Macaca mulatta: one gene and its partner. The protein of the gene in region 1 interacts with the protein of each later gene in a biochemical or structural test. Links are inferred from orthologs where the notes say so. Each region holds a gene or a part of one and is shown on either strand. Other genes may lie near its edges.

Region 1 (3,943 bases):
TTCCTCATCGTCATCATCCTCATCCTCATCATCTTCATCATCCTCATCATCCTCATCCTCTGAGGCAGGGGCAGCAGCTGCTGCTTTCATCACTGCTGGTTCAATTTCATCTTCATCCTCATCTTCGTCCTCATCATCCTCATCATCTTCCTCACTGTCATCCTCCTCCTCTTCATCACTGTCTTCCTTCTTGGCATTCTTACCATTCTTTGCCCCCTTGGCTGGGATGGCAGCACCCTTCTTACCAGGGGTTGCTACCAATGCTTTGCCTGGTGTGGCTCCCTTCTTGCCAGGTGTGGCAACTGCTTTGGCTGGTGTAACTGTCTTCTTGGCAGGTGTTGCTGCTGCCTTTTTGCCTGGAGTGACAGCTGCTTTCTTGGCTGGTGTGGCAACTGCAACCTTTTTTGTTGGGGAAACTACCACCTTCTTTGCTGAGGTTGCAGCAGCCTTCTTGCCTTTCTTCTGAGGTATGACAACCTTGAGAATAAATGAAAACCAAACCAGTAAGTCCAGCCCCACACCCAAAAAGATAACCATGGTCCCAGTGAGTGTTAGATTCTGCCAATGCTTCTGGTTCAAGACCACATGCGCTAGACACATGTTAGCATGTTAAACTCCAGGCTTCTGTTATGTTGTCTTAGGTCAGAGCCCTTATTATCAGGTGAATACCCAGCCATAAGGAACCCTTTTGAACACTTAAAATACCTCTGAACCAGACCTCTGAATTCTTGCACCTCATATTTTCCCAAACCCCAACTTTCTCATCTGAAAATGGTAATAGTATCATATTACACGTATAACAATAATGAAGTGCTATGCGTAAATTATTCAGAACCTTACACCTAGGAGGCTCCAAGCATTAACGTATTAAATCATTTGGGGCTCCTATGGTGGATGGCAGTACTGAGTCCAGTGAAGCTCAATTCTTGGGACCTGAGATAAAATGAAGATCAAATAGGCTAAACCTAACTATCCCTTACAAAACTATCACACATCAAAGAGTGAGCATGTTAGTTTGATAAAAGCCATCGTTTAGCTACATGAAAATCCCATAGTTTTATTAGGCAATGTGTGGAAGAATAAAACTTTTATTCAATTCTCAACGAAAAACCTGAGCACAATTCAGTGCTCAGATGTCTTTACAGTGAGCAAATAAAAGGCCAAGACTGCCAAAGAGTAAAGAGGGTCAATGTTAACACAAAGAGGTGGCAGCCCTCAGTCTACACCAAAGATAACTATAACGCAGTGAGTAGAATTACAAAGTTTATATATAATGGAATGGAGACCAATTAATCTTAATTGGAGGCTAGGAAAGGAATCTGGGAAGGTTATCCTCAGATCTGAATACAATGCCCAGCTCTACATGTCGGGGTGAGGCTAACATGTTGAAACTGGAAAAATTTAATGATTTAACACAACAAATCACACTCCTTGCCCTGCAGAGGCACATGGAAAGGAGATCCCCAGACCTCTTGTCTCAAACTCACATTCAAATACTTAGCCAAATGACACCTTGACATGTCAGTGAAGAGCTTGTGAAACCACCACTACAATAGGACATACCTGGATGAATAAAATCTTATTTTAGCCACAGACATCCAATTTCATGTCTTAACTCTCCATTGTTGTAGTTTTAACACAATTCTGCATTAAGCTAGATAAAATTACCTCTTCTCCACTGCTATCATCTTCTTCATCTTCTGACATTTCTTCATCTTCACTATCTTCTTCTACCTCCTTTGGAGGAGGAGCCATTTTCTTGGGGTCACCTTGATTTTTACCTGCCTAAAATGGACACAAGTAGGTCATTACACCTCCACCTCAACATTTCAGGCCATTCATATTTTGCCATTACTGTTCATAGTAAAACGCCATCATCTCTCCTTTCTCAGATCCATTTCTCATAGTGCCAAACAGCACAACATCAAAACGAGTCCTGATGGCAATGCAAGATGGACTACTCTCAACCGCCCACAATTTTCCTCCCGGGCTTCACAAACAGAAAACCCGCCCGAAGGTAAGAAGTAACTACCTTGGTTTTCTCATGAACATTATGCTTTTCCCAGCAAGACAACCCCGCCCCTTAAAGAGGCGGCGCGGCCACGTGGGGGTACCTGGTAGGCCACCACGTGCCCGAAACACGGCGCAAAAGGCACGCGGCAGAGCCACCTTCCGGGGCCCACCACGTGTCGGCTTGCCAGGCCAGGACTCCGACTAGGGCCGATACCGCCATTTCCTGGCGCAAGGCACCGGTGCCTCTGGAGATTCCAGGACCTACGCGGCGCGGCCCACGTGGCAGGCCGCGCTCCCGGGCACGTGCGTCAGGAGTCGGGTCCCGACTCGTATGCGTCGCAGGAGTTTGGTCTCATCTCCCCACCCCGGGGCCCAGCGCCCCCTCCCCGCGCTCAGTGACTCCGTCTTTCCCGCCGCGTTCGCCGCCCCCAGCACCTGCAGAAGCTCTTCACCTCGCCACCAACTAGCCAGAAGCCGCGAGACCTCCCCACTAATCGCGCGAGACTTCCCGCAGCATGGCGCCCTAGAACGCGCCCGGGACTGCGCGCAGGCCCTCCTCCCCGCGCCGCCGCGCTCGCCCCTCGGAGAGCAGGCCTAGACGTCTGCGCTCGCGCTCAAGGCCGTTTACCTTCGCGAGCTTCACCATGATGGCGGCTTATGGCGGCGGAGTGTGGAGCGGAGAAGTGGCGCAGATGAGTCCAGAGGAAGGCAAGCGACGGCGATGGCGGCCGCGGGTGCTGAAGATCCCGGAGCACGTACACTCGAAGGCCAGCGAGAGCTCGAGACTGAGGCGAAAGACTGAGCCTGCCCAGTAATCGCCTGTGGAAAGGCGACGACGGCGCCCTCGTGACTCCGTGCCGACCAACCAGAGCTCGCGGCAGTCCCCCTGAGCCAATCGCGAGCCTCTAACCGAGAACGGCGCGGGGCGGGGAGTGGGCGGGCCGAGGCGGCCACGGGAGGGGGAGGGGCTGGCAGCCGTGCCGTCGGGGCGGGGCTCGCTTTGTGCAAGGCCGGCGCTGATTGGGCCGTGGGCGCGCGGGTCCCGGCCTGCGCCGTGGGACTGGCGTTTTTGGCGCCGGCTGTGAGGGGACTTCGGGGGTGGTGGAATCGGGCGGTCTAGGGATCTCCAATGTGGCTGGCTCCCTAGGCTCGGGCAGCCTTGGAGTTCCTCAAAGACCCCGCGCGCGGCCCCGGCACGCACTCACGCCGGCGCTCCCGGTGGCCCTGGAGAAAGAAGCCCGCCAGCCCCGGAAGTTCAGGGACCGCGGAGTTCCCGTTGGCCCTTTCGGAGGCACAGCTCAGCCCTGCTTGCCCGCGAGCATGGGACTGGAGACACCCCCGGCTGCAGGCAGTCTTCTGAGAGCCGTTAAAGGCAGTCGCGGGTCTGTGCGAGGTTTTTCTGTGAGAAATGCACGAACCTCCCCTACCCCACAGAACCTCAGGCGGGAGATATTTCTCGTCATGGGGAACGGCCTCGGAGAAGTAACTTTCTGGCCTCACAGGGCAAGGAGAGGGGCCTGGGCGGGCCGACCGCAAAGCCGGGCCTTTGACCGCCCACAGGTTCCCTGGTTGTTATTTGCGTCGAATGCGCCAATTAAGGTGGTGGCTGCTAAGTCAGTGTCACCAGATGGCTCGGGAGCAGGTCGAGAGCCACCGGCAGGGTTCCCCGGCGGCAGGGCGAAGGAGGCCGGAGTGACTTCCACGGTTAGCTTTGAGGGTGGGCCTCCCTCGATGCCGGGCTTAGCAAACCAGAGCATTTCCCTCCGTCCAGGGCCTGCCTGGGATCCATCCAATCCATGGGTCCAGGTATGGATCCATCCATACCTCATTGTTCCTACAGAACCAGGATACCTGCAGCTACGGCGGTACTTGTTAAAAATCACCTCAGGCGGGGCGCGGTGGCTCAGGCCCGCAGTCCCAGCACTTTGGG
Region 2 (4,143 bases), on another chromosome or scaffold:
AGGCATGAGCCACCACACCCAGCCGAACTTTTGAGTAGAATACAACCATTCAAAAAGAAAGAGTCTGGGCACAGTGCTCACGCCTGTAATCCCAGGACTTTGGGAGGCTGAGACAGGAGGATCACTTGAACCCAGGACTTCAAGACCAGCCTGGCAACATAGGAAGATCCCCATCTCTACAAAAAAAAAAAAAAAATTTTTTTTTTAGAGACAGGGTCTCCCCTCTCTTCCCCAGGCTGGAGTGCAGTGACACCATCATAGCTCACTGCAGCCTCAGCTTCTGGGCTCAAGTGATCCTCCTGCCTCCGCCTCCTGAGTAACTGGGACTCCAGGCCCCCACCGTCACACCTGGCTAAATTTTGTATTTGTAGAGATGGGGTCTTGCCATGTTGCGCAGGTTGGTCTCAAACTGCTGAGCTCAAGCGATCCACCAGCCCTGGCCTCCCAAAGTGCTGAGATTACAGCCCTTAGCCAAAACCCTGTCTCCATAAATGATTAAATAAATGAAAGGCCACAGGCCTCAGACCGTTCATTCTGGAAGGTGCTGAGGAATTGTTTGTTAATAGTGGTTGCCTGGAAGGCAGCGGGGGGAGGCTTTCCTTTTTCAGTCTGGTATGTTCTAGTTTTTTTTCAGCCGGGCGTACTGCACTAACAATATAAGAAGAAAATGGAAAGAATTTGAAAAGACGCTGGGGTGTGCAGAGGAAGGGCACCCAAGTCTGGGGAAGGCGACATCAAACCCAGGCTTTTTGTTACCTGTCAGCCCCCATGTGAAGTCCCCGCCGGGCCCCTCAGCCAGCCTGAGTGGGAGGAGTGCTCAGAGGGTCCCCTCTGTGGGTGGTGGGCAGCTGGGTGGGTCTCAGGGGGAGGCTCCCTCTGGGGCCTCTGCGGCCTCAGTGCCCTGGGATGCTGGCGTTTGTCACTTGCTGGCCACCCCTCCCAGGCAGGGATGGTGTGAGCGCCCTGGTCCCTAGCGCAGAACACACACGCCTGCCTTGCATGAGCACCCCCGTGCCCATGGTCTTGGGGGGCTCGGCAGGTGCCCTCTGCACCCCCCACAGTAGGTGTGCAGGTTCCGTCCCAGCGCGCGTGGCGGCACGAGGGTCCCATCCAGTCCGGCCAGGTTTTGGGGCGGCCTCTCGCCCAGGCAGGTGGGATGCTGCGCGCGGATGAGGGGCGGGCAGCGGGCTACTTCCCGGTGGGTCCCCGGGGCGCGCGGGCTGGGGGCGCCGGAGCGGCCGAGGGAGGAGGCCACACGCTCGCCTGCACCGCTGGGGGCCGCCCGCGGGCCTTGCCGGCCAGAGCGCAGCGTGCGCCCCGGGCCCCGCGCCGGCACTCGCTCAGCGACCGCGGCGGAGACACGAGCGGCGGCTGCGGAGCCCTGAGGGCGGCGGGAATGCGGAACCGGCGCGCGGGCTGAGGCCGCCCGGCATGGCGCAGGGGCGGCGGCGGCGGGCGGCCTGCGCGGGGCCCTAGCGAGCCGGCGGACGCTCCCGGCCCCGGCCCCGGCATCGGCATCGCGGGCGCATCGCGGCCATGGCCAAGGAGCGGCGCAGGGCGGTCCTGGAGCTGCTGCAGCGGCCGGGGAACGCGCGCTGCGCGGACTGCGGCGCCCCGGGTAGGTGTGGGCCGGGTGGGCGCGGGGCCGGGTGGGTCCCGGGTGGGCGCGGGGTGCCGGGTGGGTCCTGGGTGGGCCCCAGGGACTGGGCGGGGGACCGCGGACGCCGCGGGGGTGGCGGTGCTGAACACCCGGCCGGCGCTCGGATGGGGCCCGGGCCCGGCTGCACCTGCGGGACCCGGACGTCTCCCCGGGCCGGGCGGAGCGGGAGGCGCCCCCAGGACCCCCGGAAATCCCCCTGCCGCCGCCTCCCCTCCCCCTCCGGGCTGCGTGTCTGACGGTCACCGCGGACCGCCCGCCGCGTTGCGAAAGCTCGGGCTCCGCACAGAAAGAGGAAATCGGGGCTGGCTGCAGGGAGGGAACGGGCCGCCGGCTGGAGGGCTCTGCTGGACTGTGGGGTCCCCCGGCTCCGGGGCCACCTCGCGGTGACGTCATGCCTCACTCCCTCCCCACACCGGGGGTCCCTGGGTGTGAGCGGCGCCCCTCCCGCGGCTCCCTGCACCTGGCTGCTCCGGGGCGGGTGCCAGGACAGGTGAGGCCTGGAAGAGGTGGGGCCGGACGCAGGTCCTCGTCCACCTGCCGCCCGCCCGTTCGTTCTCCCGGCCGGGCATCCCTGACTCGGTTCCTAGGTCTGTGGGATTTCAAGGCACAGGAGTCCAAAGGCGCGGAGTCCCTCCCTTCCAGGCCACTGGTCCTGCCATTGGCTGTGAACGGGGCCCAGTGCCCAGACCAGCCCTGCCCTGCTTCGGAGCTGTCAGCCCCAGGCCGGCTGCGCTGTGGGGAGAGGGCCCTGCCAGGGCAGTCCTGCCACCCCAGGCACACCAGGAATCTGGGGGCCAATAGCCTGAGCCCCTTGGAACAAACCTAAACTCACCAAGGATGGCTGAGGTCCCCAGGGAGAGAGCGGGGGAAGACCCTGCATTTGCCCCCAAGGCCCTGGTTCAGCATGCAGTCTCTGGACACCCCGGAAATAGGATCTGATTCTCTCTGGGATGGAGGGGTCTCTGCCAGCCCCAGGTCGTGGTGGCTGCTGTCCAGCCACAGTTTGGCCCGAGAGTCCACACCAGGAGCTGGGGTGTCCCAGAGGGGAGATAGTGACAGGCTTTTCTGGAAAGACAGGCAGGACCCACGGCCTTTCCGTGGTCTCCTGAGGCAGGGCGGCTGCAGGGCCAGTGCAATGGTGTGGTGGGGGCGGCCCCCTGGGCTGGCTCGCACGAGAATCTCTGACCCCAGATCTTTATTTCCTCCTGTTCAGGAATGCTCCCCTGGAGAGTCAGTGGGAAAGGGCCTGGCCTGGGGTTGCTATGGCCCACGGGGAGGGGAGCTGGGCTTGTCTCTGAACCTCTGATTCCTGGCCACACAGCCTGGGAGCAGCTTCTCTGGACTCAGAGCCCCTCTCCAGCTGCCCTCTGGGCCTCCCAGCCTGGCAGGAGGAAGAAAGAGGGCACTTCCCTGGCCTGCTGGGCCCTTCAGTGGCCCTCCCCTCCCAGTGGGTGCAGGTGTGCCTGGCCCACCACAGAGCTGTTCTCGGCCCTCCCCCTGCCCGGTGCTGCTGGGCACAGGGCCGCACCTGTGCCTTCTCAGAATTGGTCCATGACCTCAGTGACTCGCCTCCTCTGTCGGGTAGCGCCATGGAGCGGGGATGCTGTGAGGGGTTGTTCTCATTTCACAGCCAGGGAGACTGATGCCTTGCAAACTGGAGCTGGGGATATGGGTCACACCCGGCCGCTGTGCTTGTCCCCGCTTCCCAGGGCTGTGGCCACAGGGTGGAACAGGAGGTGTCAGGAGACGGGGGGCTGCCCGGACCCCATGACCCCATGGCACACCCTTGAGGGCGCTATGCTGCTTTGCTGATGCGGCTGCTCTGGGATCTCCTGTTCCTGCTGTGGCCCAGCTGGGTGACAAGGAGCCACTCCAGTATTGATGGGGACTGGGGTGACCAGCACGTTCTGCTTTCCTCAGAACACTGTCCTGTGCACTGGCTCTCGGCTGGTGCAGACCCGGTCAGCAGGACATCAGACAGTCCCAGGCCACCTCTGAACGCCAGGCCTGTGGGTGCTGGGGTAGACTTGAGCAGGCCCCACCTACTGGCCATGTGAGGGAAGCCACATGGTCTGGGGGTCTCTGAGGCCTCCACAGAAGCTCCTTCCAAACTCTCATGATCTGTCCCACTAGTGGGTTCCCCTGACCTTGAACAGGTCCTCACCCAGCGGCCACCCAGAGAGCCTCTCCTCACAGGCCTGGCAGGTGGGCGAGTTGGGGCGTGCTTGGACCCACTGTCCTGCAAGACCTGGGTGGGGGTCTCCATCCTGGGTGGGGCTTGGGGGAGGGAGGAGGTGCCTCTGTGCATCCTTGGCACTGCCTGCCTAATTGCAACAGAGGACAGGAATCAGGCGTGGTGGCTCACGCCTGTAATCCCAACACTGGGAGGCTGAGGCGGGAGGATCGCTTGAGGCCAGGAGTTGGAAGCTGCAGTGATACACTCCATCCTAGGCCAGAGTGAGACCCTGTCTCAAAAAAAAAGA

The links. The genes of interacting proteins can lie anywhere in the genome.
Region 2: the proteins of NCL (region 1) and ADAP1 form a complex in vitro, tested with the Homo sapiens proteins (2 studies listed by BioGRID). The link is inferred for Macaca mulatta from reciprocal best matches to the Homo sapiens genes NCL and ADAP1.

What each region holds. Positions count from the first base shown.
Region 1 is NC_133417.1:136,720,199-136,724,141, forward strand, and holds the start of NCL (nucleolin), read right to left. Parts: upstream 2,801-3,943; 5' UTR 2,660-2,800; coding exon 2,642-2,659; exon of another isoform or gene 2,449-2,641; intron 1,786-2,448; coding exon 1,669-1,785; intron 478-1,668; coding exon 1-477. UniProt on the Homo sapiens protein: Nucleolin is the major nucleolar protein of growing eukaryotic cells. It is found associated with intranucleolar chromatin and pre-ribosomal particles. It induces chromatin decondensation by binding to histone H1.
Region 2 is NC_133408.1:34,898,367-34,902,509, reverse strand, and holds the start of ADAP1 (arf-GAP with dual PH domain-containing protein 1), read left to right. Parts: upstream 1-1,334; 5' UTR 1,335-1,536; coding exon 1,537-1,618; intron 1,619-4,143. UniProt on the Homo sapiens protein: GTPase-activating protein for the ADP ribosylation factor family. Binds phosphatidylinositol 3,4,5-trisphosphate (PtdInsP3) and inositol 1,3,4,5-tetrakisphosphate (InsP4). Regulates the incorporation of CD63 and CD9 into multivesicular bodies.